2 linked regions of the Sus scrofa genome follow. Each later gene encodes a partner of the first gene's protein in a complex. Links are inferred from orthologs where the notes say so. Each region holds a gene or a part of one and is shown on either strand. Other genes may lie near its edges. The genes, in order: CSF3R and CSF3.

Region 1 (3,803 bases):
GATTGTATATGTCATCTCTTTCCAAGTTCACATTCAGTGATGTCACACACTGGTAGCCTGAAATTAACCACGGTGGGAATATTTACACCAGAGAAAGCAGCCCATGCTACAAACCCAGATCTGTTTCTCTCTGTGTAGCCAGTTGATAAACATCTACCCACACAGCTCAATCTCACCCCTGAGAGCCTCTCACAGTCCCCGTACACATCCTCCGCACTCCAGTTCCCACATCCTGGGGGGTAAAGCAGGACGGCAAAGGCACTGAGTCTAAGAGGACTGGGTCTAGGAGCCCAGCTCTAGCAGGCAGAGGCGTCACTTATGGCCGATTCTCTTCTCCCCCAGGCCTGGAGGAGTGCGGGTACATCAGCCTCCCAGCCCCCATCATCCGCCTAGGGGATCCCATCACAGTGTCCTGCATCATCAACCAGAACTGCACCAGTCTTGGCCCAGAGTCACAGATTCGATGGAAACTGGACACAGAGCTTCAGCCTGGGGGGAGGCAGCAGCACCTGCCGAATGGGACCCTGCAGTCCACCATCACCTTCCCCCATTTCAACTACTCTCGGGCCCTTCTCTCCTGCTGCCTGCACTGGGGCAACGGTCTGCAGATCCTGGACCAGGCAGAGCTGCAGGCAGGCTGTAAGTCCCTGCAGCCATCCACCCACTCTGCCTCCAATGCCTTCCTGCCAATACTAATAAGAACTATTCTTACGTGCGCTCTGGCTCAATACACACTTTACAGGCAAGATATCACGTGCCTACCAGTGGGGAGTGTTATTGAGCCCCATTTCACAGATGAGAAAACTGAGGCTCAGCAAGGGGGTGTGACATGCTAAAGGTCACAAACCAATAAGGATGGGGCCAAGATTTATATCACGCACGCATTGTGGCTCAAAAGCCAGTAGAGTAACTGCTGCTTTACATGGCTGCCGAGTAAGCCCAACTCTCCAACTGCAGGACAGTGTATCTAGGGAGGCCTTTCTCTATGAGCTGGGCTTGCTCTCAGCTTCCCCACTACCACAGATGCAGCCTTCTTCTCAAACTGAGAAGGATGGATTTGTGCCAAGCCAAATCCTTTCTTTAAAGACAAAGAAAGACCAAGATTCTTAGTTAAGAATCAATAACAGTAAGTGCTAACACTTACAGAGCACTCGCTGCAAGCCAGGCACTGCTCTGAGCACTGCATACATAGTAAGTCCTTCAACCCTCACAACAACCCTAAGCGGTAGGTATATTAGCATAACCTCTATTTTATAGATGAGGAAACTGAGGCACAGAGCAGTTAAGGGACTTCAAGATCATACAGCTAATGAATGGCAGAACCAGGATGAGAACCCAGATGCCACACTCTTACTGTCAAAAGGAGCGGAGTTAAGAGGGTTGGTAGCCCCATGGTCCTTGTCCCTGTACATGCCTGGAACTTAGTTTCCCCCAGGGCTGGCCCTCTGGGGTCACCCTGCGTGGAGTGATCCCAGAGAGAATGACCCAGAGCAAGGAAACGAGGCCAACTGGTCCCAGTGGGCGCTTCCTGAATGGTCTTTCCTGAAGCCCTCTCTCTCCTCACCCTCCACACAGACCCTCCCCCCCCACCCTACAACCTGTCCTGCCTCCTGAACCTCACAACCAACAGCCTCAAGTGCCAGTGGGAGCCAGGCCCCGACACCCACCTCTCCACCCACTTCACCCTGAAGAGCTTCAAGTAAGTAAGGGTCTCTACTCCAGCCCCGGTCCTTTGGGTCCTGGGACAGAGCATGGGTTGGACTGAGGGGGTGGGAAGCCAGAGGAATCGATGGGAGAGACGGAAGAGCCTGGCTTTCCTCCTTTGCTTGACACCCAAGCTCACCCTGTTGGCAGGAGCCGAGGCAACTTCCAGACCCAGGAGGATTCCATCCCTGACTGCGTGCCTGAGGATGGGCAAAACCACTGCTCCATCCCCCGCAAGCATCTGCAGCTATACCAAAATATGAGCATCTGGGTGCAGGCTAAGAACGCGCTGGGGACCAGCACATCCCCAAAGCTGTGCCTTGTTCCCATGGACATGGGTAGGTGACGCAGGGTGTGGGGGAGGGGAGAGGCCCCCACAATGTGGGCAGACCCAGAGAGGTACAGGGAGGGAAACAGGCCCAGGGACAGTCAAACAGATGCTGGAAGACCTAGAGGGAGAGGAAGAGAAGAGACAAAAACACAGTGCAGTTGAAGACAGAGTTATAGCGACACAGACATGGACACGGAAGAAACACGGCAAGGAGACACACTTTTTAATTCTTTCAGTAAATTTCCTGCAGTACTCATGATGTGCTAGGCACACGGCAATAAACAACACAGCACAAATCTTGCCCCCGGTTGGAGTTCCTGATGTGGCGCAGTGGTTAACGAATCTGACTAGGAACCATGAGGTTGCAGGTTCGATCCCTGGCCTTGCTCAGTGGGCTAAGGATCCGGCGGTGTGGGTCGCAGATGCGTCTCGGATCCCACGTTGCTGTGGCTCTGGTGTAGGCCGGTGGCTATAGCTCCGATTGGACCCCTAGCCTGGGAACCTCCATAGGCTGCGGGAAGTGGCCTTAGAAAAAGGCAAAAAGAAAAAAAAATCTTGCCCCCGAAATGCTACATTCTAGTGGGCAAAATAAAATAGAATGTGAGGTAATGGTGAGTGTGATGAGGAAGTTAAGCAGGGGTGGGACAGGGGGAGCTGGAGAGGGAGGGCAGTTGCTATTATTCCAGGAAGTGGTCAGGAAGGGAAGGCCTCATGGAGAAAGTGATATTTGAGAAGATCCTTGAAAGAAATGAGGGAGCGAGCCACTGGGTATCTGGAGGGAACAACCAGTGCAAAGGCCCTGGGGCAAGAGTATGAAACAGGGAGGGAAACAGACACATGCGCAGAGACAGACCTGAAGAAACAGGGTGACACAGAGATGAAGAGACACTGAGAGACAGAAGGATACAGAAATCCCATGAATGGAGACCCAGGGAGGAAAATAAAACCCCAGGCAAGGAGACAACCGGAAGCTGAGGCAGAGCCCTGGATGGAGCAGGGCAAGCGTCTGACAACCCCTCTCCCTGCAGTGAAACTGGAGCCTCCCACCCTGTGGGCCCTGGAGCCCAGCCCTGAGGTGGCCCCACCGCAGCCTGGCTGCTTGAGGTTGCGCTGGGAGACATGGAAGCCAAGCCTGCACATAGAGCAGAAGTGTGAGCTGCGCCACCAGCCACAGCGTGGAGAATCCAGCTGGGACCTGGTGAGGCGGAGGGCAAGCTCAGGAGCCTGGAGTGGGGGGGGCGTGGGGAGAGGGGAGGTTGAGGTGACCCTCAAGAGCACAGGGATCCAGGCTCAGAGCCACGCCCCCCACCAGGTGGGTGCCCTGCCCTCCAGGTCCCTCCAGTATGAGCTCTGCGGGCTCCTCCCATCCACAGCCTACACACTGCAGATGCGCTGTACCCGCTGGCCCCTGCCCGGCCGCTGGAGTGACTGGAGCCCCCGCCTGGAGCTGACCACGGCACAGCAGCGTAAGTGGGTGCGGAGGGGATTGGAGCAGCCATGGGGACCCAGCCCAGCCTCCAGGGCCCTCCCTGACCCTCTCTTCTTTTTTCAATTTTTTTGTTTGTTTGTTTTTTGGCTGCACCCACGGGATGTGGAAGTTCCTGGGCTAGGGATCAAATCCAAGCAACAACTGCGACCCACGCTGGATCCTTAACCCACTCTGCTAGGCCAGGGATCAAACCCCAAGCCTCCTCAGAGACAACACTGGATTCTTTGTCTTTTTTTTAGGGCCGCACCCACAGCATATGTAAGTTCCCAGCCTAGGGGT
Region 2 (4,073 bases), on another chromosome or scaffold:
GCCCAGTTCACAGGGTTGGAACGAACTCCAAAGTCCCTTCCAGCGCTCACAGTGCATGGTTCTCCAGTTTGAAGCCAGGCACTTTCTTCTTTCTCACCCTTCTCTGCTCAGGACAGCACCCATACTCTGGCTGGCAGTGAACCTGGCCAGGGAAGCCCCATATCCCAGATCCTCAAGCCCCAAAGCACTAGGACATTGTCGGGGGAGGGGTAGTGCGGGGGGAGGAGGAGGAAGGGCAAGGTCAGGTGAACTAAGAGGCTCGAAGGGTCTTGCTTCATCAGGACAGTCATCCGGTTTCCTCCAGTCTCTGCCAGGATTCCGGGGGCTTAAAGGAATGAGTCATGGGGGGGATTGGGGAGTTCCCAGCTACCCAGTTCAGAACAGGAACCTGGGATGGTGCCTATCACAGTGTGGGCTGGGGACAGGAGGCAAGACCCCCATGTCCTTATCTCAGGCTCCAGCCCCTCCGAAGGGCACTCAGGGAGGCAGGTGCCTGGGAATTTGGGGGATAGAAACGGGAGCACCTAGCTTCTTCCTTCTCAGAGCTGGGGCTGAGGGAGCAGGTGGCTTGAGAATCCCAAGAGAGAGTGGCAAAGGGGGCTTCATGGGGACATGTGCCGGGGAGGGAGGGAGGCCTGCCTCTGCCCTGAGTTCTGACCTTACTCCAGCCCCCAAGGCCTCTATCACTGGCTCAGCTTTTGTTTAGCGGTTCAAACACCCTGGGGCAATGCAGGCCTGGGTGGGGCTAGGGGAGGAAGGGAGTCCGAGGGGGACCAGACGTCAAAGAAGAATCAGAGATTCCACAATTTCACAAAACTTTCGCAAACAGTTTTTTTTTTTTGTTTTGCCCCAACCGCCCTGCATTGTCCTGGACAACAAATTTGCATAAGTCTTGGGAAGTTATTACTAAGCCTTAGTCGCGGCACCAGGTAATTTCCTCCCAGGCCTCCATGGGCTTATGTATAAAGGCCCCCAGATCTGGTCCCTGACAGAACCCAGAACCTACAGACCCACCCAGACCCTCGGCTGAGCCTGCTGCCCAGAGCCCCATGAAGCTGATGGGTGAGTGTCCGGGGCCCTGGACGTGGGGAGGGGCAGAGGGGCAGAGGACTGGGGGTCCCTAGGATCCTGGAAAGGGACTCAGGTGGAGTGGACGGCACGTTCCCTGAGCCCCTGTCTGCTCCCAGCCCTGCAGCTGCTGCTCTGGCACATTGCACTCTGGATGGTGCCCGAAGCCGCCCCTCTCAGCCCTGCCAGCTCCCTGCCCCAGAGCTTCCTGCTCAAGTGCTTAGAGCAAGTGAGGAAAATCCAGGCTGATGGCGCCGAGCTGCAGGAGAGGCTGGTGAGTGAGGGAGGCCGGCAGCGGAGGGTCAGGGAGGGGACAGAGGTGCTGCAGGAGGGGGCACAGAGGAGAGGTTGGGGGAGAAGGAGGCGAAGGGACCCTTGGGAAAGAATGCCTCCAGATTGGGAGAGGAGAGACTGGGGGTAATGGACTGGCAAGGAGAGGTGGAGCCCTGGGCACTGGCACAGAGCTGGGGGCGGGGGAGAACTTCTTGGGGACAGTGCTGGGAGGGGCTGGCTGCGGAGTGGACGGAGGAAGGGGAGCAAGAAGCCTGGTGGGAGGTGGAAGGAGGAAAAGACCTCAGAGAGATGGGGGCGCTCGGAAGGGAGGACAGCCCAGCCCTGTCAGCCCCCCTCACTCGGCATCCTTCCCGCCCCCAGTGTGCCACCCACAAGCTGTGCCACCCCCAGGAGCTGGTGCTGCTCGGGCACTCTCTGGGCCTCCCCCAGGCTTCCCTGAGCAGCTGCTCCAGCCAGGCCCTGCAGCTGGTGAGTTCCGGAGGGGAGAAGGGAGGTGAGGGGGTAGGAAAGGTGATCTGGAAGGAACACCCCCTGACTCCTCCCCATCCCCCCAGACTGGCTGCCTGAACCAACTGCATGGCGGCCTCGTCCTCTACCAGGGCCTCCTGCAGGCCCTGGCGGGCATCTCCCCAGAGCTGGCCCCCGCCCTGGACATACTGCAGCTGGATGTCACCGACTTAGCCACCAACATCTGGCTGCAGGTGAGTCTCTCTGGGAGCAGCAAGCATTGGGGGCCTGGACCCAGATGGTCTTCAAAGGCCGTGCTGCCAGCCCGGGGATCCCGGGGTTCTTTAGGGCTGGGGCAGGAGCCTTGCAGGGCTGGGAGGGGCAGGGGGCGTTGGAGGTATGGAGCTACCAGCCCATCCCAGGACCCTCCCCCATTTCCCCTAGTTGGGGGTGTGAATCAGTTCACAGGACCTTGAAACAGTCCTGGGTTCTGGTCCTGGCTTCACCACTAACCCTGACCTTCCACGGCCCACCAGCCCTTCCTTCTCGCAGTGGTAATGCCCACTCGGCAGGGTCTGACGGCTGCTCTCATCTTCCCCCACAGATGGAAGACCTGAGGATGGCCCCGGCCTCGCTTCCCACCCAGGGCACCGTGCCGACCTTCACCTCGGCCTTCCAGCGCCGGGCAGGAGGGGTCCTGGTTGTCTCCCAGCTGCAGAGCTTCCTGGAGCTGGCGTACCGTGTCCTGCGCTACCTCGCCGAGCCCTGAGCAGAGCCCTCCCCTTCCAGTGTATTTATCTCTATTTAATATTTATGCCTATTTAAACCTCATATTTAAAGCCCGGGGGGGGGGGGACAGAAAGGAGTCCCAGTCTCCTGGGTCCTTCCCTTCTCCTCCAAGTTTCATTCTCCCGCCTGTAGCAGGGAGAAAAATGCCCATCTTCCCGTCCCCTGGACTGGGAGGTAGTTGGTAAATACCAAGTATTACATCCGGTGACTGCTCCCTGCCTGGCTCCGCGGTGGGCACTGAGTGAACCCCTACCCTAAGGGTGCCCACCTGGGGCCTTGGAAGCATTGGGAAGTCTCCCACGTGGGAGACAAGACAGCCCTGTTTAATATTTAAACAGCAGTGTTCCCCGACTGGGTCCTAGTACCCCTTCCTCTTGGCCCCTGCTGCCTCCCCGCGCCCCCTTCGCCCCCTTCGCGATGGGCTTCCTGGCAGAGGCAGCTGGAGCTGGGACGGACTGGGACACTTGACCCTGGGGAATCTCATTCTCCTTCTTAAGATTTTTTCTTTCTGAACGTTTTGACCCCTCGTGTGGGGAGCCCAGGCATCAGCGCCGCCTCTTGTTTTTCTGGACGCGCTATAGACACCATCAGGCTCATAACACCGCCCCACCCTGCCGGGGTCGGGATCCGGACTCCCTTTAGGGCCGGGCAGACGGTCATGGGTCATGTCTCTGCCTTGCTGGACGGGACTGGGACGGTGGGAGGGAAGAGCCGCCGAGGGGTGTGAGAGGGACGCTCGGCTGTTCACCTTCCGCCTCTGCCCCCACTTTCTCGCTGGAGCCAAACTTCACGATAATAAAGTGTTTGTCTCAGTAAATGTCCTTCCTCCTTCTTGAGTCCAGCTGGGGCCTGGCCAGGGGGTGCGGGCAGGAGCTGGATGGCGGGCGAGGCCGGGGCGGGGTGGGGGAAGAGGGGGTGCGGGGAGGCCGCCTGGGCAGTCATTCCACGGGCAGGTCTTCATTGCGCACCTACTGGGTGCAGAGGGGGTGCAGACACTGGGTGCGTGGCAGGGAACAGGCAGGCGTGGTCCCTGCCCTCATGCAGCCACAGCCTAGTGGGGAGGACAGAAGGCAGACGGGTCACCGGTACCAGGAGAGGAGAGAGTGGGGGCGGGGGCCAGGAGGGCCCGAGTCCAGACACAGATGGACGCTGGCCCGAAGCGGGGGAGGATTTGCCGTCTGCACGGGGCTTTGTCAGGCGACCACCTCTCATAAACCACCTCCCATCCACGCTCCTGGCTGCCCACAAAGATAAACTTGCGAGGGGCCTTTTGCGGATTAGGAAGCTGAGGTCAAAGTGACAGCGTGGGTCAGACCCCAAGTTCTAGGCTCTGCATGTCCCTCCCTTCGTCCAGCTCTGCCTCCCATCTGGCAGGGAGCCTGCCACCTTCCTGCCCTTCTCGGGCCTCATGGGCTGAAGAGGCCTGAGCCCCCATCCAGGGAGACCGGAGTGGCCGCTGCACAGCACAGGGTCCA

Evidence for each region.
Region 2: the proteins of CSF3R (region 1) and CSF3 are in contact, whole or in part, in a crystal structure (PDB 2D9Q), measured with the Homo sapiens proteins. The link is inferred for Sus scrofa from reciprocal best matches to the Homo sapiens genes CSF3R and CSF3. Residues at the interface, in NP_000751.1 of Homo sapiens: Arg164, Arg190, Lys191, Leu193, Leu194, Leu195, Tyr196, Gln197, Asp220, Met222, His261, Ile262, Asn263, Arg311, Pro313, Leu314; in NP_000750.1 of Homo sapiens: Ser42, Leu45, Lys46, Glu49, Gln50, Arg52, Lys53, Leu141, Asp142, Asp145, Thr148, Thr149, Gln152.

The regions. Positions count from the first base shown.
Region 1 is NC_010448.4:92,555,730-92,559,532, reverse strand, and holds part of CSF3R (granulocyte colony-stimulating factor receptor), read left to right. Parts: intron 1-342; coding exon 343-639; intron 640-1,575; coding exon 1,576-1,699; intron 1,700-1,854; coding exon 1,855-2,042; intron 2,043-3,063; coding exon 3,064-3,233; intron 3,234-3,347; coding exon 3,348-3,501; intron 3,502-3,803. UniProt on the Homo sapiens protein: Receptor for granulocyte colony-stimulating factor (CSF3), essential for granulocytic maturation. Plays a crucial role in the proliferation, differentiation and survival of cells along the neutrophilic lineage.
Region 2 is NC_010454.4:22,332,787-22,336,859, reverse strand, and holds CSF3 (granulocyte colony-stimulating factor), read left to right. Parts: upstream 1-1,375; 5' UTR 1,376-1,488; coding exon 1,489-1,830; intron 1,831-1,916; coding exon 1,917-2,063; intron 2,064-2,413; coding exon 2,414-2,578; 3' UTR 2,579-3,415; downstream 3,416-4,073. UniProt on the Homo sapiens protein: Granulocyte/macrophage colony-stimulating factors are cytokines that act in hematopoiesis by controlling the production, differentiation, and function of 2 related white cell populations of the blood, the granulocytes and the monocytes-macrophages.